3 linked regions of the Arabidopsis thaliana genome follow. The protein of the gene in region 1 interacts with the protein of each later gene in a pairwise test. Each region holds a gene or a part of one and is shown in the gene's direction. Other genes may lie near its edges.

The links.
Region 2: the proteins of AT1G03040 (region 1) and PYE interact in binary tests that used the Arabidopsis thaliana proteins (3 or more experiments, as listed by UniProt).
Region 3: the proteins of AT1G03040 (region 1) and AT4G29100 interact in binary tests that used the Arabidopsis thaliana proteins (3 or more experiments, as listed by UniProt).

Annotation. Positions count from the first base shown.
Region 1 is NC_003070.9:702,204-709,640, reverse strand, and holds AT1G03040 (basic helix-loop-helix (bHLH) DNA-binding superfamily protein), read left to right. Parts: upstream 1-2,976; 5' UTR 2,977-3,183; coding exon 3,184-3,540; intron 3,541-3,984; coding exon 3,985-4,107; intron 4,108-4,273; coding exon 4,274-4,339; intron 4,340-4,511; coding exon 4,512-4,577; intron 4,578-4,972; coding exon 4,973-5,362; 3' UTR 5,363-5,792; downstream 5,793-7,437. Other genes in the region: AT1G03050 (ENTH/ANTH/VHS superfamily protein), read right to left, coding at 1-43, 174-1,040, 1,132-1,337, 1,452-1,915; AT1G03030 (P-loop containing nucleoside triphosphate hydrolases superfamily protein), read right to left, coding at 6,073-6,159, 6,260-6,288, 6,385-6,446, 6,543-6,629, 6,740-6,813, 6,904-6,962, 7,044-7,074, 7,173-7,365.
Region 2 is NC_003074.8:17,565,281-17,572,415, forward strand, and holds PYE (basic helix-loop-helix (bHLH) DNA-binding superfamily protein), read left to right. Parts: upstream 1-1,845; 5' UTR 1,846-1,922; exon of another isoform or gene 1,923-1,924; intron 1,925-2,195; exon of another isoform or gene 2,196-2,413; intron 2,414-2,565; 5' UTR 2,566-2,597; intron 2,598-2,714; 5' UTR 2,715-2,754; coding exon 2,755-2,813; intron 2,814-2,903; coding exon 2,904-3,007; intron 3,008-3,115; coding exon 3,116-3,243; intron 3,244-3,389; coding exon 3,390-3,821; 3' UTR 3,822-4,105; downstream 4,106-7,135. Other genes in the region: AT3G47650 (DnaJ/Hsp40 cysteine-rich domain superfamily protein), read left to right, coding at 4,296-4,463, 4,559-4,625, 4,708-4,804, 4,904-4,982; AT3G47660 (Regulator of chromosome condensation (RCC1) family protein), read left to right, coding at 5,912-5,937, 6,041-6,071, 6,149-6,235, 6,319-6,408, 6,487-6,578, 6,717-7,135.
Region 3 is NC_003075.7:14,338,272-14,346,871, forward strand, and holds AT4G29100 (basic helix-loop-helix (bHLH) DNA-binding superfamily protein), read left to right. Parts: upstream 1-2,693; 5' UTR 2,694-2,868; coding exon 2,869-3,197; intron 3,198-3,432; coding exon 3,433-3,811; intron 3,812-4,081; coding exon 4,082-4,162; intron 4,163-4,793; coding exon 4,794-4,859; intron 4,860-5,018; coding exon 5,019-5,084; intron 5,085-5,352; coding exon 5,353-5,412; intron 5,413-5,567; coding exon 5,568-5,612; coding exon of another isoform or gene 5,613-5,654; exon of another isoform or gene 5,655-6,106; coding exon 6,107-6,304; 3' UTR 6,305-6,742; downstream 6,743-8,600. Other genes in the region: AT4G29103 (uncharacterized protein), read right to left, coding at 8,017-8,229.

The DNA of each region.
Region 1 (7,437 bases):
TTTCCATTAGCCGTTGATGGTGCTGGAAGTGCCAGCATAGTTGCTGTAATCAATAGAATATTCATGTCAAATCATCAGAATGCAAACTGAAACAGAGCAAAATTTATAACTAAAAACAGAGCAAAAAATTCTAAGAAGTTTAAGAACAGAGCAAAGTAATGTTTGTTTAAAACCTGCTGGTCTTCCTGCAGAACCAAATGCCATACTGCTCGCGCTTCCGCTGGCTCCATAAGCCGTCGATGTTTTCACGGCAGCGTTTACAGCGCCGTGCTGATACATTCCGTTAAGCAACAACATATCAAAGCCTCCTCCGAGTTCTGACTTTTGTCCTGACAAGTTTGTAGCTGTTTGCACCAAAGCTGTTTCCCAATCCGCAGAATCATCCTTAAACGCTTCCCATCCTGGACCAGACTCTGAACCAGAACCGCTTGCGTATGGCCCGTCAAATAAAGCCAACGCTAAGCTATCTCCAGCTTGTCCTGCTTCACCGCCGTTTGTATTCCCAAGATCAAGTAAATCACCCATTTCTTCTTGTTTCTTCTCTATGATCACTTCTTCCTTTGCTTCTTCCTCAGGTTTTACGTCATCTTCTTCTTTTGGTGGAGGTTCAGGTAAGGCCTTTATTGCGTTCATATCTTCTTGCTCTTCATTTACTTCCTCTGTTCTCGCTTCATCATCATCTTCATCGGCTTCAGATTTAACAGATTTTGATTGCTTGGTGTGTTCTAAAGCAGATTTGTCTCTTATAAACTCATCCATGAGATCAAGCTTCTTCTGTGTGATCTTCTCTATCTCTGGATACTCAGAAGACCGTGCGATCCCCATGTTCTTACACCAAGAGTAGAACTGATCGAGCTCTTCGAATTGTTTCGAGACCCGGCAGAAAATGTCATAGACCTTGATCGAATCAGGAATATCTAACTCCATGAATCGTTCAATCAAAATCCCCATTATCTCTGTTACATCGTAATATATCTGAAAACTCTCCTTCACTATCGGATACAGAGCCACAATCACAACTCTGTTGTTCCTCGCATTACCTGTTAACAAAATAACATTGGTCCTTATATAAATTTTTATCCAAGAAACAAACACACACAGAGAAAGAAATCTTGAGACGCAAGTTATTACCTGTTGGGCGACAAGCCAAGAAACGGTCAAGAAGTTGCTGCAAATGTTGGATTCTGATGAAAATCTGCTCTGTTTTCATCTCGGCGATCGGTTGTGACCTGACCACGATAGCCGTGGAGAGATCTGCCGCAGCTTGATCCTGTTCTTCTTCGTCAGCTTCTCCTCCAACGCAGTAAACTCCACGTTTCCCGTGTCTCGCTTGCATCCTCAAAAATTGCAATGAAAAAAAAAAAAAAACCGCATATCTTAGATATCATTCAAATTACATAAATAACTTGAAATCCCGAATCGGAACCTGGATCAAGCACAAGAACTCTTACCTGAAATCAAGCCTTTCGTCAAGGTACAATGCGTAAGTCCTGACAAACGCAGAGTAGTCCCAAGAATTAGACCTCGAAACATCCCTAAAATCAGACATATTGAGAAGCCTTGTTCCACGGCGAGTGGCGAAGAAGATCTCTTGCTCGTAGGCTTGATCTCCTTCTCCTAAGAGCCTTTGGATCAAAATCAAGGTTTTGAGGGCAACGGTCCAGCATTTGGTTTTATTAAGGCGTCTCGAAAGCGTGCTAACGCAAGCGTTGATGTAACTGCGTGAGTAAGAAGTTAGGCTAAGAATCTCTCTAATGTATTTCTCTTCTGCTGGAAACTCTTCGTGACGAGTGGCTTTGACGATGGCTACGTCAAGTTCAGATAAAGAAGCGCTTCGACCATTGACTTTGGCTAGACCGACGCTGGTTTGGTCCTTTACGGCTCCTATGGCTCGTTTAAACTTACTCGAACCCATTTTTATTCTGATTAGTTAGTAAATTTGTATTAAAGACAAAAAAAAGAAAAGAAAATATGTAAAAGAAAAGATTTGAAGAGAGAAAAGGGAAGAACGAGGCTTGTTTTTATTTTGTTTTTGTTTTTCCTCGTCGTTTCCTTTTTTCTCCTCTGTTTCTTGTTTAGTTTTGTTTTGTTTCTTCTTCTTCTTCTTCTATGTTTTTGTTTGTTTGTTTCGTCAATGTAGTTTCTTTGTTGTTCGTCGATTATTCACCATCTAAAGTCGCCGAGGTTATTGGAGGCTTTGTCCGGTGAGAAATATGGCCACGTGGCAAAAAATTAACTTATTGTTTGACGGGTCAACTGAAATTTAGTTTGCATTTGCCATTAATGGGTAAGGAGAAGAGTACTGATTAAAGAGGAAAAAACTTTCTTCTAATTTGTAAAAAAAAATACACCAAGCTTTTTTCTTATGGATTGGAAGCCCAAGATTGAATTATGGAATCCAACAAATCAAAATCGATCCAAGCCCATTTCTGCTGACATATTTTTTACTCGTATTATATTCAGAAATGCCACAATTTTGTTTTGTGAAAAATAGAAAAACCCTTGTCTCTCAAAATGGAAAACGAGTCGGACAACGGTTCAGCACTAAGGAGAAGCAAGTTGTAATACCATATGGCAAAATGAAACGTGTCATTTTTATATTGGATATTAGAAACTTTACTCCATGAGTGCTAAATTTCGGAAAAAACGACAAAGACAGATTTTTTTAAAAAAATCTTATTTTCTACCACTAACGAGATGACGACGACCCCGACAATGCGTAGAATTTTTCCCATATCATTTATATATTTTAAAAAAAGAAAGTTATATTGGTTTTTAACATTCTACTAAAAAGAGTTTGGTAAAAGACCTTTTTCTTAATTTGATATGAATAAATTGAAGAAAGTCAAAACAAAAAGCCCACTTCAAAACAAATAAAGCCCACTTCAAGTTTCTGGAAGGTATATAAGAACAAGGGCAAAACCGAAAATAAACCACAAAGTAAGGTCCTTTTAACAAAAATAAAATGAAAGAGAGCATAAAGTGAGTCTTTTTGTCATATCCTTTCTCGTCTGTGTCTCTTCGTCCTCATTAGCTTAAGCATCATCATTCTCTCACCTAACAACTCCACACAAGATTCTTCGCATGGAAAGTTGTTCTTCGACTTCTCTTCTCTAACTCGCTATCTTTTAACTCACCCAGCTCCACTGAGTCGAAAATTTCAAACCTTTACTCGTTTCCTTCATGGCTAATAACAACAACATCCCACATGATAGCATCTCCGATCCATCTCCTACCGACGATTTCTTCGAGCAGATCCTCGGGCTTTCCAACTTCTCCGGTTCTTCAGGTTCTGGTCTCTCTGGAATCGGCGGCGTGGGTCCACCTCCGATGATGCTTCAGCTTGGTTCAGGCAACGAAGGGAATCATAATCATATGGGTGCCATTGGAGGAGGTGGACCTGTAGGGTTTCATAATCAGATGTTTCCGTTGGGATTAAGTCTCGATCAAGGGAAAGGACATGGCTTTCTTAAACCTGATGAAACTGGTAAACGTTTCCAAGACGATGTTCTTGATAATCGATGTTCCTCTATGAAACCTGTAAGTTTCTCTTCAGAATCTTCACTTTGTCTTTTTCTTTTGTGTTCTCGAGAAAATAAAGTGAAATTCAAATCTTTAGGGTTTCAAAATGGTGTCGTTTTTGAGAAAACCCAGCTTAGGTCTAAATTTGATAGTTACCGAGAGTTTTTGGCTCAGATTGGTGAGATTTGATGTTTTTGAAGAAACCCAAGTTGAAGATTTTGATGTGTTTTAAAGTCATAACACTAAAATTAGTTTTGCAAGAAACTTTAGTATAAAAGAGTGTTCTTTTATGTCCAAATTATATTGTAAGAAAATTTGCTCTTTAGTTTCTTTTCTCATGTGGATAATTCCGTCATAGTTTGAATTGTTGCTATAACTACTCTAGTGGCGACCGTTCTTGTGAGAAGCGGTTTTTAAGCTTTTCTTAATGTTATTACGGCATTGTTTTGTGTTTTGTTGAAGATTTTCCATGGGCAGCCAATGTCACAGCCAGCTCCACCAATGCCGCATCAACAGTCTACTATTCGGCCTAGAGTTAGGGCTAGGCGAGGTCAAGCTACCGATCCACATAGCATCGCTGAGAGGGTAAGATGTTTGATACACTTTTTTTATCTTCTGGTCTCTTTTTTCGATTTTTATGTGATAATGTTTGATCAAAGCTTTAATTATAGCTTTTGGTTGAGAAAGTTCGATTAGTTCTTACTTACTAAGAACGGTAAGACCTAACCTGAATGTATTTGCTTTGCAACAGCTCCGAAGGGAAAGAATAGCAGAACGGATCAGGTCGTTGCAGGAACTTGTACCTACCGTTAACAAGGTTGGTATCTTTTTCTCTAGAGCTTCAGCTACTGTTTTCATGTCGCGAAGAGAGCTTGAAAGAGATTTTAAAAGTAGGGAGAAAACTAGAGTTGTCAATGAGAGAAAAGTTTTGTGATTGGCATATAGAAACTGCGGTATTCACATCTGTTTCTTTTGCTTTCCTTTTGCAGACAGATAGGGCTGCTATGATCGACGAGATTGTCGATTATGTAAAGTTTCTCAGGCTCCAAGTTAAGGTAAACACCCAAGTCATTTTCAGTTTTCTATTCTCTGGTTTTTGAAAATGCTATCATTAAAAGTTTGTAGAAAGATTATTTAAAACAGCCAGAAGGATTTAGTGGTGTAAATCCTTGGTCCCCACCACCACCTACTCTCTTAAACCAAACTTCCAATCTTAATAAAAGATTATAATTGTTTAATCTGGCAATAAAGAGTAATCAAAGAGTACATGATTGTGTGTTTTTTGGCATTAGTGTCTTTCACTTTTTGCTTGCTTCCCTCCCATGGAGAATCATCACAATTGAGGACTATTGTAATAAAGCTAATGAGAACATTGAAGAATATTTTATGCAATGATGGGCTTTGATAATATTTTTCCTTCATAAGCTTTATCTCTGGTCAACTATGGCAGGTCCTGAGCATGAGCCGTCTTGGTGGAGCCGGTGCTGTCGCACCACTAGTCACTGAAATGCCATTATCTTCATCAGTTGAGGTTAGACTAGAGAGAGATACTTCATTAAAAAAAGAACAGAACTTTGGTAATGGTTTTTCTTGCACTGACTTGTGGTGTAAAAACTTTCTTCAGGATGAGACGCAGGCCGTGTGGGAGAAATGGTCAAACGATGGGACAGAGAGGCAAGTGGCTAAGCTGATGGAAGAAAACGTTGGAGCAGCGATGCAACTTTTGCAATCAAAGGCTCTTTGCATAATGCCGATCTCATTGGCAATGGCGATTTACCATTCTCAGCCACCAGACACATCTTCTTCAATCGTCAAACCAGAGATGAATCCTCCACCGTAGATTTTTGTTCATCCAACGGTCCCCAGCTGATGATTGACATTTTGCTCTGTTTCCCACTACTAGACTTTTGTGACTCATGAAAGGTAAGTAAAAAGGCATTGGAGATGGAATCTAAGTAGGATTTGTGCAGTAAAGAAGTAAAACGGGATCTGTCAAAAGAAGGAAAAAGCTCTCGCTTGCTTGGCTAGTATTTATCATTTTGATGAAAGTAACTCTTTTTTGTTCAAAGACTTTAGTGTGATTTTCAGGACCAAGGGCTTTGAGGGTAGTGCTAGCTGTAGTAATAGTAATGAAGGTGTGGGATCGTGTTTCTGAATTATGTAAAAAAGGAAGAAAAAACAAATGTTGGTATTATATTATGGTTTTGCCTCTCTTTTTTTTCTTGCACTAATTTGGATAGACCATTTAACTATTCAAAATGATATAGTTGGGAGCTGGACTGATTATAATTAGGTAATTTCCCGCGCATTCAAACACTTTATGCATTAGAACTTCTAATTTAGAAGTATAAAACACATTGTCTGAACAAAATCCGTGAGTATGCAGAGAACACTAGCATACACAGTTTACTGCGAACAAATTGCTTATTGGAAGTTTCCGTTGCAAGAAAAAGACATTGTAGACCAAAGGCAATCTTCCCTTGAAGCGCAACATTGTCTTTTGTTATTCATCTTATTCTGTTTCGTCCAATAGCCCCCTTGAAAGTAGATTCAAATGTTCATAGATCTGATCAGTAGATCAGCGTTTGTCTTTGACTTTATTATCAGCTCTGCGTTGGGTCGGTCATTATAATCCACCTGCCATCCAAATTTGAAAAAAAGAAGCAGCTAGCTACCTTGAACAAACCATTGAAACCATGTAACTGAATATTAAGTAGAGTAGAGCCAGAGCTTTTACCCGCCATTTAGCAACATCTGGGGGTTTACCTGTAATTCACAAAGGGAAAACGGATTAAACAAAAGCGAGATTCTCTGAGGTCATTGCGGGTTCTCAAGAATCGAAATAAGAGAAATTGTACACACCAGTTGAGATATGCCGGTTTTCAACACGTTGCATTGCTGTATCGAGATTCACATCGATGAACCTTGAATTGAAGATGGAAAGACATCAATTGGTAAAACCGAACTCAAATACCACGAGTGAGTGAGAAAAGGAAAAAACACTTTTGATTAGTCTTTACCATTTCTCATCAAACATATCTGAGATGTCTTTCCAAGACCCTTCTTCTAACAAGATGTAGTTTCCTTCTACAATTACCACTTTATGCCTAAGAAGAGGACATAAGTTAGCTGACTGTCTCCGGAATAGGCAAACAAAACCATTTCATATTACACTAGATTCGGATTTGACAGATTTAGGAAGCTACTGACTACTTACTGGAGGCTAACAAAGATATCATCTTCAACTGGATCCCCAACTCCATGATCAAATGATGGCACATAAACTGAGCCCTGGAAAGCTTGAAAACTAATCAGAGTCTATTGTAAGTCTCCCAACTTCAAGATCCTAAGGTCAACAAGATTTTGTAACCACCTCTTTACCTCGTTTTTCAGCTTCTTTAAACAGTTAAGCAGTAGTGCAGGATCAAAAGTCCACGGAGCTGATTAGTGGATAGAAGGGTCAAACCAAGTTTGAACATTTCGAAAAAATCTTTGAATAAGACAATTATAACAGATCTCACCCCCTCTTCTCGCATGGGCTTCTTTGGGATCCTAGAGTGACAAAACAAAATACAGAATTCCTCTTAAACAACAAAGAGAAAGAGACATAATAAGAGAAATATAACTCAGCAAAATATTATGAGCTCAACCTCCATAGCATCGAGTTGCGAACGATACAAATGGAAACCATCCATGGGAAGTACTATAGCAACATCCGGTGGATTAACCTCAGCATCAAAAGAAGCAGCTTTCTGAGGCCATAGCTTATTTACACGACGCACAACTTCATTTGCTACTGTACTTTTCCCGGCACCAGGAGGACCAGCCAAACCGACCAAACGTCTACACGAGTCAACACACAATTCATAGGAGTTATCTAAAAACTCGGGTGCAGCTAACAGAACAGAACAACAT
Region 2 (7,135 bases), on another chromosome or scaffold:
AAGTTTCTACAATTAAGTTCATGATCATTTGATCATTTTGATTTCAGATTGACACAAACCTTGGAAAAAAGGAGAGGAACGAAGCCAGAGGAGGAATTAGGAAGCGTTAGTTGATTTAAGAGGGGAATTGAAGAAGCTTACCTGCGACTGCGAGTGAAGGCGGCGAAGAGCGAGGAAGAACAACAAACGCCGTGAAGCTAGCTTTTTTGGGTTTGGGCCAAACGAGATTAGTTTCTAACAGATGTTTTTCCGGACCCGGACCGGTAATACCCACGATCCGCTTAATTATTTGGTCCCTGTCTAGCTCTAAAATCCCGGTGCAAACGAACCGGCAAAACCAACGACCTAGCGGTTCGGTATTTTGTTTCTGAAATCTGAACCCTCCGATTTGTTCTTCTTTTTTTTTTTCTTTTTATAATGCAAACAATTGATGAAAAAATATATTATGGTCCGAATGGTAACCTCGGTTTTTAATATGTGAGAAAAGTGGTATAACATTGCAGTACAGTTCAATTACGGTACGTGCGAGAAAAATATATTTGCGGGACAAATATGGTTTGTACAAAATAAGCGGTACAGAATAATGTTTGATTGATGAAAAAATTATTTGCGGTGCGGATTATAAATTATATATATATATATATATTAATAATTAATTATTATTTTTGTGTTAATAAATAAGCAATAACATATATTTATAAATTATTAATACATAAATAAATCAAAATATACATTTTTAAAGTTTAACATACATATTATTAAATTCGTTGAATAGTTTCATCATAAAAAATTGAAAAAAAAATCATAATTTTTTACTAGTAAATTGATTATAGAACTTATATAAGCTTATAGTGGATAATAATTGTCAAAATTTCTATAAGTATTATGATATTTCTATTTCTTGTAATTACATTTTCTTAGATTTTAATTAAATAAAAAGAATAAAACTATAATTATTGCATATATATATATATATATATATATATATATATATATATATTAAAGTCCATTAGTTAAGCAAATTGTTATGTCCTACGTATATTTTTTTCTTTTATGCACTAGGTAACTAGTGATTCTGATGCACACATATACTCTCTTTTTTTGTACATATATTTAAATGGGGAAGCTAATGGAAAAAAAATTAAAATTTGCTTAAGTAATGGAGTAATAAACGAGGGATGTGTGTATGGAAGAGGCAAAGGCTGAGAAACTTTTGGTTGGGACGTAGGACATAACAATTTGCTTAAGTAATGGAGTAATGAACGATTTTTTTGTTGGAATGCGGTTTTGAGCAAAAACACTAGGTAAATGATTTTTCTTCTTTTGAAAAGCATTCCAGTGTATTGTTTTTAGGACAAAATTGCAAACTTTTTTCTTTTTTTTTTCGAAAAACGCAAATTTGTTAAAAGTATTGATTGGTAACTGTATTGTAGTTTTAATAAAAAAACAAGAAAACGCCTTTTGTATGTTTCTTAATCACAGTGTATGAATGGTGACATAGACCGCCCCCAAAACCGTACCGTAACTGTAACAGTATAAAAAATCTCTATATATACATATATATCTATGTATTTTTGTTATTATTTGAACCGTCCCATACTTTTTCCGTATCACAAAATACAGTCATCATTCGAACCGCAAAACTATATATAGTATTTCGGTTTTTGAATTCAAAATGAAGGAGAAGAGGAATAGGCAGATTAATATAATTTCGTTATTTCTTTTTAATTTCCTATCTTCAATTTTTCCTCACCCACTGAATTTGACTATGCCATTAAAAATGTGTATACTAATCATCATACCGTCAATAAATAGAGTTTGTGGGAAACACACGACAGACACGTCATCAGCTCTCGACGGCGCGTTTCCATGCCTTTATTATCCTTCACGTTGACCCCACATGCCCCTGTTTTTTTTTTTTGGTGTTCTACGGTATATTTTTGTGAAAATGTTACTTTTCATCTACTCGATAAAATTCTTAAACAGATAGTACAACTTTTTACCCGATTAATCTGTAGAAAATACAATGTTATTTACACTCAACAAACATTTCCATTAATAGAACTTTACCCGATTTAAACCACTCTTCCACTCGATTAATATTATTATTTTATTAATTAAAGATACGATGACGTGTCCATGAGAGATGAGCTTTAGTGGCACGCAACGTAAGAGAAGAAGACAAAAGTAAAAAAGAGAAAGGCACATGTCGAACTCACGTGTCCACTTAAACGCACCACCTTCTTCTGTGCTCTCCACGCGCCTCCACACGCCCTCCTCAACTTCGGACCTTCTTCCTCCAAAAAAAACAATTTCACTCTTCATTTTCTCAGATTCTCTTATTATTTCTTCTACTCGTTTCGAATCCTAATCGTCTACAGTTTCCGACGAGATTCTCACCGGAGAAAGAAAGGTAGTTCTTTTCTCTGAATCTGTTGTGTTGAGAACTTAGCCGTAATTTTTGAGAATTATTCTTCACTATTTGATTTGACAAGAATATGGGTAATAAAGACAGAATCTAAAACACTTGCTTCAGTTTTTGAGGAATCAAAAATCACACGAAAGTTTTTTTTTTTTTTCTGCTCCTATGTTTCTTGGTGCGTTTGTGTTTATTTGACATTAGGAGTGATTGATTGATTATAAAGATGAATGATTTGTTAGATTCATTAAGATCACTGTTCTTTTTGATTAATCATCTTATGTCTAAATTTTAGGTGACTTGACAGAGAATCTTGTTCTGTAATAAAAGCAAAGATGGTATCGAAAACTCCTTCTACATCGTCTGATGAAGCAAATGCTACTGCAGATGAAAGGTGATTCTTAAGGAGACAATTCTTGGAAATAGATTATGGAACCTTTTATTTTTATTTATGGGGATTGATTATGTTTGGTGTATAAAACAGATGTAGAAAAGGTAAAGTACCGAAAAGGATCAACAAGGCCGTTCGTGAGAGGCTTAAGCGTGAGCATTTGAATGAGCTTTTCATTGAATTAGCCGATACTCTTGGTAAATTTCTCATCTTTCCGTAGATTTGAATGAACAATTGCTCGAGTGTGTTGTGATATTTTGAATGTGATTGTGATATCTAACTGTGAACATGTTTCTTTGTTGCAGAACTGAATCAACAGAACAGTGGGAAAGCTTCTATACTATGCGAAGCTACTCGATTCTTGAAGGACGTGTTTGGTCAAATTGAGTCTCTTAGAAAGGAGCATGCTTCTCTCCTATCTGAATCTAGCTATGTAAGTCAATTTCTATATGCACATTGATTGTGTTTATGTATTCTGTGACGTGAATCAACAACTAAGACGAATGTTGCTTCAAGAAGTTACTTCATCTTTGTATTTTTCTAAATGGTCTTGTTGATGGAAACTGGTGTTGTGTGTAGGTAACCACAGAGAAGAATGAGCTCAAGGAAGAAACATCAGTGCTTGAGACTGAGATTTCGAAACTACAAAACGAGATTGAAGCTAGAGCGAATCAGTCGAAACCTGACTTGAACACCTCTCCTGCACCCGAGTACCATCATCATCATTATCAACAACAACATCCTGAACGTGTATCTCAGTTCCCAGGACTTCCCATTTTCCAAGGCCCCGGCTTTCAACAATCTGCTACAACTCTTCATCCTCCTGCAACAGTTCTTGTCCTTCCAATACAACCTGATCCCCAGACACAAGATATCTCAGAAATGACTCAAGCGCAGCAGCCTTTGATGTTTAATAGCTCAAATGTGAGTAAGCCATGTCCAAGGTATGCTAGCGCGGCTGACTCGTGGTCTTCTCGGCTACTTGGAGAGCGGCTGAAAGCCAGTGAATGAGGTCTTGAACGGCTCCACATGGAGTAGCAACGCAAGTTATAAGACATGGCAACTTATGAAGGACTCTGGTTTTGTATTTTTTAATACATCGTTCTGATGTCCTTGTGGGTTTGGCCTTGGCTATTTCTTGTTTTTGATGGTTGTTCATAGGATCAGGAAGTTATGGCCTTGATGGGTCGTTTGAGATAAATAAGTAAATTAGCTCTAACCATTGTCATTTTCTTTTGTCTTAAGATTCTAAAAACACAGAAACAGAACAAAAAAAATCAAATTTCTTTTTAAGAAAAAAGCTTTCTAATGGAAACTAAAATGTGAAATTGGGTTTAAAAGACAAAACCGGTTAATAGGTTTTGGTTTGGATTGGATAAAGAATATGATGGTATTTTGGTAAAATAGGCACTTGAGAAAAAGAGAAGTGAGAGGAGCCATCTTATCTTTGCTATCGAGTGGGTAAGAAGAATCAGAAAACAGAAAATGGCGAATTCACTATGCTTCTTCTCTTCTCCTCCTACCTTTTGCTTCCAATCTCCAAGCAAAAACCCTAAACCTTCTCACTTCTTCTCAACTAATGATAACACCTCTTCCTTGGTACAGAAGAGAGAACTGCTTCAGACTTCAAGATCCCAAAGTTTTGAAGTTAAGGTTAGAATTTTCCCAAACTCTTCTCTTCTCTATAAAATTTGCTTACTTCATTGACCATTTCGTTAATGCAAAATCTCATTCTGTGGTATCAATAGGCCGCAAACAATAATCCTCAGGGCACTAAACCAAACAGTTTAGTTTGTGCAAATTGTGAAGGGGAAGGTAAGTTCTTACCTGTTTTATAATTCTCTTAGTTTTCTACTCCTGAATTGGTTAGTAATTTGATAAAGATGTTTTTTCAAAGGTTGTGTGGCATGTTCTCAATGCAAAGGAGGTGGTGTGAATTTGATTGATCATTTCAATGGTCAGTTTAAAGCTGGTGCACTCTGTTGGCTTTGCAGGTTTGCTACATCTTATATTCTTTCTTCTAATTCTTCCTTCTCCACAACACATACATAAACTCATTACTTAATATATATTTTTACATTTCTTGTGGGCAGAGGTAAAAAGGAGGTGTTGTGTGGGGACTGCAATGGAGCTGGTTTCATTGGTGGGTTCTTGAGCACCTTCGATGAGTAGTAGAAATAAGCTTCTTCCAAGAAGACTGGATTTGATTACATGGACTCAAAAAACACTCTTTTATAAACCTTAGAAGAAGTAAATCTTTCTCTCTATCAATGCTCTTCTTTACCAAAAACATGTATTACTATTTGTTATTGCACACCAAACTTTTGTTGTATTTTTGTTTTTCAGATTCTTCTCTCTCTCTCTCTCGTTTTTTGTCTTCTACAAATTGCTAAAAGTCTATAGCACCTCTATGGTAGTCTTGTTGATGGCTTGAAATGTTGAATGGTTTAGAGAAGAATTAATCAAAGTTTTGTTCTATTCATTTACATTGAAAGAGAATGTTTTATATCATCCTAGTATCTATCTATATGATATTAGAATTTTTATTTTATTTTGATATATTTGATAAAATAAGATGGATAAAACTGAAAAAACATTGCACCTGAAAAAAGGAGAAGAAATGGAAACAACTGTAAATAACAGATAAACGCATCTGAGACCAACAAAAGGAGAAGACACAGACCTTTTTTCTCTTATCTGTTGTTGTTGTTGTCGTCGTCGCTGGGTCAGAATCTTGTTGTTATGTTTTTCTTTATTCTCTCGCTCCACGTTTCAAATCCAACACAAAGATCTGTCTGATTCTCGGGAGAGTCAAGTCAGAAACCTAACGAGGGATATTAGTTCGTCTAAATTGCTCCAAGCTCAACATATGTTTGTTCCGTAATTTCAATAGGATTCGATTTGTTCCACAAAAATATATTTTCGCATTGTGGCGTGCGGAACAAGGAACTAGGTGCGTTTCTCTATGATTTTTGATCATCAATCCTGTTTTGTGTAATCCGCATTGTAGATGATTTGGTTATTTCTATATTTCAAGGGAAAAATGATGAATGCAAATGCGATTCCATAGGAGAAAGCAGAAGTAGTTATTAGACGTCTTGATGAGGTTTTCGATTCGAAAGCTTAGGTAAAGAACCTCTTTGGATATCAAAGGCAAAAGGGGTTTTATTATATGGGGCGAGCATTGGGATTATCTGGTGCTCAAAACTTGGAATGGCTTGTTTCCAGAGAAGTGTTCCCACAGATAGGGAGAATGAGCAGGTTTGTTCCAAACTCTCTTAGTAAAGATCATCTTCAATTCCTAAAGTTTGATTCTTTTGGCATAAAACTTGGTTCAGGCGATAGCAATTCTGAAGAAAGGGGCTTATCTTTTGAAATACGGCCGCCGTGGGAAGCCTAAATTCTACCCTTTTCGGCTTTCAAGTGTACTAATTCATAACCTTCAGTCACAGTTTATTTCAAAGCTGAAGATTGTGATTTGATAGTGGTTTTCTCAAAACTTTTGCAGGATGAAATATATTTGTTATGGTATTGTGGTAAAAAGGAGAAACGTCTTAAACTGAGTTCTGTGACAAGGATCATACCTGGACAGCGAACTGTAAGTTAAAATGTATGAATCATTTTATCTGGTAACTGTTTTGCTGCAGATTTCTGAACAGAAGAATGTTATTGTAAGAACTTTTCCAGGCGGTTTTCCGACGATATCCTCAACCCACCAAGGAATATCAATCCTTTTCTCTTATATATGGCGAACGGTCTCTCGATTTGGTTAGTAGTTTCCTCCCTGTAGTCTTTTTCTTGTTGTTCCCTGACATGTATTATTCCACAGGCATTAGCTGTCTTCTGAAGACCACATGCAATCTCCATTGCTACATCAATCTCTAACAAGTTCTTACTCGTTGATAGGTATGCAAGGACAAGGATGAAGCTGAGTTCTGGCTCACTACCCTTCGCGCTCTTCTCTCACGAAACAACTCTTCTGCATTGGTACTTCACTCAAGAAGCCGTAGTCTTGCTCCTGAAAATGGAGAACAAAGTAGTTCGAGCCAGAACTCGAAGTCCAACATCAGATCTGTCAGCAGTGACACAAGCTATGAGGTTTTGTTGGTTGTTTTCTTTCTTCATGATAGCACCATCGGGTTGTTTCCTACTTATTATCTTCCTGTCTCACCTGGCACTTTTGCAGGAACATGCAAAAAAGGCCTCAGGATCTCACTGCAACACTCCACAGAGACTGGGGAAAGTTTTCTCAGAGGTTCTGTCACAAACTGCAGTACTAAAGGCACTCTCTTTGGACGAACTGGTTCATAAACCTCATACTTCGC
Region 3 (8,600 bases), on another chromosome or scaffold:
AGTTCATTCTTGTATATTTTTATAAGATATTTAGTTATATTATTTATTTGAATGAAGAAAGAAACAAACAAAAATGTAATATTTTGAGATGTCTAAGGAGTATTAAGATGTCCAGACTAACTTTAAATTTTTCTCCGAAGATTTATTTTGAGATTTTTTTTCGTTTTAATATTTTTGATCAGTTTATGACGATAATAAAAATAAACGAAACTTTTCTTAAATCTATAGTTGGGAAAGTGATTGATTTTCGTAAAAACCATTTTCCAACTAATATAACATATGATAGGAAAGTAGTCAGAAAAATCTTACAAAAATGTGCATGGAAATGGTGGAATTTACAGGTAGCATTACACATAATCATTTCATCATTAAATGCTAAGTTTATCCACCATATTGGCTTGGTTACAGAGTCTAAATAGAAATTGCAAGAGTTACATCCTAGTTTTGTCAAACTTTGGACTACACTATTACAGTTTCGCCTCTTGTAAAGAAAAATCGTTGAAGAGAATTTCGATGACCAGTTGTGAATGTCCTGGACTAAGTTAAAGATCTCACTTCTAGTTGTAGTCCCGGTAATAAATACGAAATATAGGATTGTATTGTATTGTATGTTTTCTGACTCGTATATTACAAGTATATGTAAGGATTTCTTGGAAATTGAAATCACTGGGAAACAGAATATTAGGGATCTCCAAACCCTAGGACATTGATTCCTTCGAGATTACTGGTCTTCTTCGTTGTAGGCAAAAAAAAATGGTATTTATTGTTAATTTGTATTTTTCTGATCATGCTTGGACAAAAAAAATGACTCGTTCAGGTTAGAATTTAAAATTAAGTGTATGCGTCATATGACACAATGCTCTCGTCATCTTGTGTCTAACAGAGTGAAATAAAGAACGAACAATTGTTTGTATACACACAAATACAATCGCACCTACATGTGCACATATTTTATTACGCTTATCTATAGAAAACTGTTTGATACATTTTTTCATTCTAAAGTAAATACACAATCCAAAAAATACTATGTCATGTTAAGAATGTTTAGTATATCTATTTATTTTAGGACAAGGAACATTTAACATATAGTAAACAGTTTTAACAAAATTTCTCTGATTTGAAATATATTTTTTATATTATCAGTAAAAAGAAAACTGTAAAGGTAATTATAGTCGTTGATTAAGATTATACTTAGTTTTTTAAAATAACATGTTTTAAAAATTTTGCAAAATAAGTTTTTTTTTTTACATGTCTCATAATTTTTGTCCTCAGTTTATGTTAAAAATATTTTGTTATTTTGATACTAACATCTTCCATACGCTGAAAACATCTTTGAGAATATTTTTCAAAACACAATATACAAAAATCCACAGTGACTTTATTCCACGATGAAATGATATCAAGACATATATGTTCTTACCTTTACCTTTCAACGAAAATGAGAGAAAAAATATATATATATAGTATCACTTTTAGAAAATGTTTTTTTTTGCTAATTAATTATTATATAAAAATGTTGAGAGCAACTTGATCATATATGTAATAAAGTCGCAGTGAAAAAAAAAATGTAATAAAGTCGCATACCGACGTTGTGACTCGTTTTTATGTAATTGATTAGTTAAGTACAGAGTTCGTTAGATGTATTTGCATTGTTACAATTACAGAAAACCCTACGCAACACAATTCAGTACTTTTTACGTCAGCAAAAATAGAATCTTTCGTTGAAAATAATACCAGAATCGTTCTTGTCTTTAATTTTCTTACCTTTTTGTAATTGGATATGATTTTTGACTATGGAATTATTATTATTTTATTCTATAAAATTATAGTTTTTATTATTGGAATCATTTATAAATGCTATTACTCAGTGTTCTTTAAAGTCCATACTAACGAATTCAAGTACTTATTTAACAAAACAAAACAAACAAATACTAATAAACTAAAAGTACAAACATTACTATGTTATTAAAAAAAGCATATAGCTGCGTGATTTTAAAGGTATATGTGACATATAATACAACGACGCCGTCGTATTTTATTGAATTTTTTTGTCACTTTTAATTAGTATACAGTGAGGAAATAAGCAAAAAGAAAGAAAAAAATATTGTTGGCTCGGCTAGTACCTATAAATAAAAACACTAGTATTTGGCCCAGGATATAATCATTGCAAGTTTAGAACTAGTTAGCTAATCTAAACCGTTAGATCAAAGAAGCAATCTTACTAATCAGAAAAACAAAATTCAACAAGTTACAAGAATGAAAAAAATAGGGATAAAAAAAAGGATAATTCATTTACATTCGATCAAAAGGCGAATGCATAGATCATAGATGCAAGACACTTGTGAGTTGTGATATAACCAAAAATTTATTTAATTATATGTAATATATATTCGAAAAATTTATACACCGTATATAAAATATTCGAATAATCCTTTTCTTTGATTTAAAAATATTTTCTGCTTGTTTTCTCAACTCATGTATTAATTTAAATAATAAAAGTAGCTACCACCTTTCTCTGCCCCACTTTAAGATAAAGCTAAAGCATGGAAAAAAGCATGGGAAAAAAGTAAATATATGATATACAATCAAATAAATCTAAAAAAATAGAAAAGAAAAATTAAAGGAACGAAAAAAAGAGGGAGGAAAAAGACAAAATTAAAAAACAAAAATAAAAATTCCAAAAAAATTAACATCACATGTTATCAAATGAGATCAAAATTTAAGTTAGTTTTGAGTTTTCTCTCTCTTTCTCTTCTCTAAAACTACTTAAGCTAAAGAATCAAACACTTCTCAACGTTTCTCCAAAGCCTCTGATTAGTAAACACATAAAGAGATCTATAGAGAGAGAGAGAGTAGAGATAAAAGGTGATGAATAGAGGTGTGTTGGAGAGTTCGCCGGTTCAGCAGCTGATGGCAGCCGGAAACCCTAATTGGTGGAACGTAAGCGGCGGCATGAGGCCACCACCACCGTTGATGGGTCATCAGCAGGCGCCGTTGCCACCACATATGACTCCTAATAACAATTATCTCCGACCACGGATGATGCCCACTCCCTTCCCGCACTTCTTGCCATCTCCGGCGACTTCTTCTTCTTCCTCTTCTTCTTCACCGTCTTTGCCTAATAACCCTAATCTCTCTTCTTGGCTTGAAAGCAATGATCTCCCTCCTGAGTCTTGGAGCCTTAGCCAACTTCTTTTGTAACTATCCCTCTATCTCTCTCCCTCTATAAATATTCCAAAATGAAATATTCTCTATACGCACATGACATGATCTTGTGTTTACTTACTAGTTCACTCTTTGTTTTCTCGTGTGTTGCTACTTAGTCCTAATTACCTTTTTGTTATACGTATATACGTATATACATGTATGTGTTTGTATTTTAAGTATCAAACAAACAATCTAATATTTTGGATATTTTCTTTGTGAACTTAGGGGTGGATTGATGATGGGAGAGGAAGAGAGATTGGAGATGATGAACCATCATAATCATCATGATGAACAACAACACCATGGTTTTCAAGGGAAGATAAGATTGGAGAATTGGGAAGAACAAGTGTTAAGCCACCAACAAGCTTCCATGGTGGCTGTTGACATCAAACAAGAGGGTAACATTAACAACAACAATGGCTATGTCATATCTTCCCCGAACTCACCTCCTAACAAATCTTGTGTTACAACAACTACCACAACAAGCCTCAATAGTAACGACGATAACATCAACAACAATAATAATATGTTGGATTTCTCTAGCAATCACAATGGTCTTCACTTGTCAGAAGGGAGACACACTCCTCCGGATCGATCCTCTGAGGTAACACTTTTTCCACATCTCAGAGATTTTGATAATATACGGAAAAAGCTCGGAAATAATATCTAGTTTTACACATAAATTAGTAAACACATCAACTACTATGAAAAAGTGAAATCTAAAACGTCATTTAAAAAGATCAGGACAACATATTTTATTTTAAGGTTTGGATCTAAATTCAACACGCAACCAGGATGAGTTTTGCTCTGAATTTTTTTTGATTAAATGACTAATTGATCTTTGTTTTGTTTGTTATCTATATATGTGATGCAGTGTAACAGCTTAGAGATTGGTGGGTCTACTAATAAGAAGCCAAGGCTCCAACCTTCTCCTTCGTCACAATCAACCCTCAAGGTAACTAATTGATTATATCAACGAAACTTTGGATAACTTATATAACGTTTTCTGTATATAAATTCCCTCCCTGACATCATACTAACAAAACAAAAACACAAACACAAAGGAGAACAGAAGAAGCAAACAAAACAGAATGGGCACAGAATAAGCTGTGTGGTTTTGTGTTTTGTAACTCTTTTGTTCTCTCCTGTTTTGTCTTCTTCTTCATTCTTCAATATTCCTTTCCTCTCTTTATTTCATAAAAATCAAACTTAAATTAATAAATTTCAACATTCTCCTTAGAATTAGACGACACTATATGTAATAAATTTTATTTTATAGAATATGGACATTTTGAGAGATTTCAAAGTTCTGTCAAAAAAAAAAAGAGATTTAAAAGTTTTGTTTTTTTCTGTAACTTGTTTTGAAACGTAGAAATGGAAGAGTCGCATTAGACATTGGATTCAATAATATCATGATAATTATATATACTAGTGAAAGTAAAATAATTGTTTATCACTTGTACATGCTAAGTAAGCACGTTTTCTCTATGCATGGTAATTAGTAAAAATAATATGACCACACATGCACATATATATAGAAAGCTTTTTAATTGATGCTATTAATTAATCTATGGTGGTAATTAAAGGTGAGAAAGGAGAAACTAGGAGGCCGAATCGCAGCGCTTCATCAGCTAGTATCTCCATTTGGAAAGGTAAAGATCGATTCCATTAACAAATCAAATTTATTAATGTCGTCTAATATTCCTCTATCAAATCAACTTTTAACATTAATTGTGGAGATTTTTTTAGTTTCATTCTTGTTAATCTAAAATCTAAATCATTCTTCATCCCTTTTTACCCATCTTTTGCAGACTGACACAGCCTCTGTCCTGTCGGAAGCTATTGGATACATTAGATTCCTTCAGAGTCAAATTGAGGTGTGACTCGTCTTTTCCAAACTCCAAATATTCTCATTCAGTAAAATAAAAATAATGCTTATGATTACTCCGTTTACCAAAAAAAAAAAGAAGAAAAAAAGGTTGTGATTACTGAGAAATAAATTACAGAATAAAGCATAATGATATTATATAAGAAAGAATAAAGATAGTAGTATAAAGTTTTGTTCTCTCCATGTTAAGTAATATTTGATTGATGTGATTATATATAAAGTATTTATGACTTTTTGCAACTGTTGCACTGTTGCAGGCTCTGAGTCATCCATACTTTGGTACGACTGCCTCGGGGAATATGAGGCACCAACAACATGTAAGTAGCAAATTTTCGTATATATACTGATATACACAAACAAATCATCATGCTATCGTTTTATACCCTTAACTTCTTCTTTTTCGATAACCTACACGAAACTTTTTATACTTATATATTATCTCTTAAGTCTTAACTATGGTTTATATGAATAGTTGCAAGGAGATAGGAGTTGCATATTTCCTGAGGACCCTGGTCAGGTACGTCCATTTTTTCTTGGTCACTATACTTTTAATATATAATTAGAGTCACTATACTTTTTATTGGATCAATTGAATCCAAATCTAAAAAATGTGGACAGCTTTAGTTTCCAAAATTTATCCTTTTTTTTCTTTTGTTTTTTTTCTTTTCTACTGTTTTCTTTAAAGTAAAGTTGGATTAATATTAAAAGATGCAGCGGCCAGCTTTTTTTTCACCCTCCCTTACATTATTATAAACCAAAAAAGTTCGTTAAAACCAACAAAGCCACTAAATTTATTTAAATATCAACTTTTTCTCCTTACTTGTTTTCTTCATCTAAGTGAAATTCAAATTCCTTTGGCGGGGTTTTATATATGCTTTTCACTAGGGGAAATTCAATGATTTTTTTTCTTATCACCTCTTTATATAGGTGTTAGAGAACATGTGTTTACTTTTTTTGTTAATCAATGCTATATATCATGATTGTTTTTTTTTTTTTTTGATATGGTTTTAGCTCGTGAACGATCAGTGCATGAAGAGAAGAGGAGCTTCGTCGTCATCTACGGACAATCAAAATGCAAGTGAAGAGCCTAAGAAAGATCTGAGAAGTCGAGGTTTATGTCTTGTCCCAATCTCATGCACACTCCAAGTAGGCAGCGACAACGGCGCGGACTATTGGGCTCCAGCACTTGGCTCCGCCGGTTTCCATTGAGCCAATGAAATTACGCCACGTGGAATTCCAGCGTTAGAGAAAAATGATATAACATCACGAGCAGTCAGTCTACTGAGAAAACAACAAATTGAGTTTCCAAGGCTGATTGCTCATGATGCTATACAAAGTTCTTCGTTTAAAACTTTGCTAGAGAATTTGCGTCTGGCGTCTGATGAATATGCGTTTGGCGTTTCATCATTTGATGCGTTATCAGATGATATGACCAAGTGATCAATTTATGTTCTTGCTTTAGGAAACTGTTTGTTTTCTTTTACCGGTTAATTGTAATTTGTGGTTAAGTACTTATTTTAATTACTTCCACGTGGTTTGTATCGTTATAATTTTGCTATTACTTATAATATGTCTATTGTGTGGGATATATACGACATGCAGACCATTAAAATAAAAAAGTGTGCCGGAAAATATCGATATAAGTTACTTCGTTTGCCTTTTTCATGCGTAGTTCTTAATTCACGTAAATGATCATCCACAATGAAAAAAGAAAAAGAACGAAAAAGTTCAGAAATTATGAATCTTATTAATTATTATTGATAATTATTTTACTTCACTCCACCATATGTGTGAACTAGTGGAGCCTTGGAGGATCACTAACAAAGAAGAAAATAAGAAACAAGATATATCATCACTTTTTGAGAACTTGCTCTTCATTTAAACGGTTCATTTCTTCTCTTTGAAGTTACGATCATCAAAGAACTTCTTAGGGTTGCTCTCAAAAGCCTCCCTCTAAACGCTTTGTCGTCCACCAGATCCAGGAGCAACCATTGTTTTACCGATGTCGGAAGTGCTACCAGAACCACCGCTTCCGCCACTCGTACCAAAATTCTTGGCTCCATCAGCTTTGGTGTTCTTGGCGTCCATGGCTTGATTTTGGGATTGGAAACGATTATAAATTGAAGGTTTGGTTATTTTGTGAATCATGAATTCGACTGTTGAGACTTAGAAAATGGATCGTATATAGACACCAAGTTGATCTGATAGAATGATAGTAATTTGTGAGTTGTAACAACACGAAATAATGGTCAAATTGGCATGGAATGTAATTACTAATTACTGATGTTATTTCCATGTCAATTTGTAACAATTTTCTCGTAAACTAAAAACGCTCAATACAACAGACACGGCCCATCTCTTAAGCCCAACCAAATAATCTTTGTCCAGTTATCGCTTGGCTCCCTTATTCGATGCGTTTGCCTTACGAGTTTTGACATAACACGCACTTTTTTAATACGCATGTGGTTCGAGTAACGCCGGTTCAGTTTTGTCAATTAAAATCTATAAGACTATAAATACATCGTTTTGGTAGAGTACTATTCGGATCAATAATTATGCATTGTTTTCTTATGTGTAAAAGAATGCATGCTCCATACCAATAAACAAACATATGATTAATATACTTTATCTTTTGCAGTGGATGATGTGGATCATATTATTGAGGAACATAATATAGTGGATTAAGGAATTTATCCATAACACCCGATCCAACAACAAATTATTATATTGATCAAATAAATCATATTATTATGTCGAAAATGACAAAATAAAATAAAAATCCATTACTTCACAGAAAACTACAGAATCTTTCCACCCATAAAAAGCAGACCATCAAAAGAGGAAAAAAAGTAGAAAATCCAACGTTTATTCATACTATAATGTTGAATGATGGAAAAACAAATACAGTGCAATATTTTCAGTTATATATATATACACGCAAATAGCTTATGGAATTCCCATATTAATTCCTTAGTAGACGGAGACGTACAGGTGGCTATAATTGGCTTAGATGCCTTCACGTCTAAGCTCTTAAGGTTTATGGCCCATTTCAAAAGCTCCTTTAAGAAAATCCCAAAAAAAACGAAACATAAATTAAAACTAATTAATAACAACATATAAACTTTAAAGTACATTTAAAACAATGAAATTAAGAAAAATAAAGTACTAGTTCTCATTTTATAAAAGAAGGCTAATAAGAAGATTAAATTATAATATCTTTAGCCTCATTGATGGGATTAGATATAGATGATATATTGATATACATATTGTTGGAAAATGGTTTTGTGAAGGAAATGGAATTGGTGTGTCGTTTTCGCCAATAATTAGTTTATAGTTGAAAACTCCATGCATGTCGCTTCCACGTATTCTTCCTCTACCCCGACGTACACGTGTTGTCGTTTTCGATTCAATTTTGTGGCTACCGGCTATTAGGGTAGTACTACAACTACATAAAGAAAAATTCATGGGTCTAAACAAATTTTCATTACAAGATATAGCATGTCAT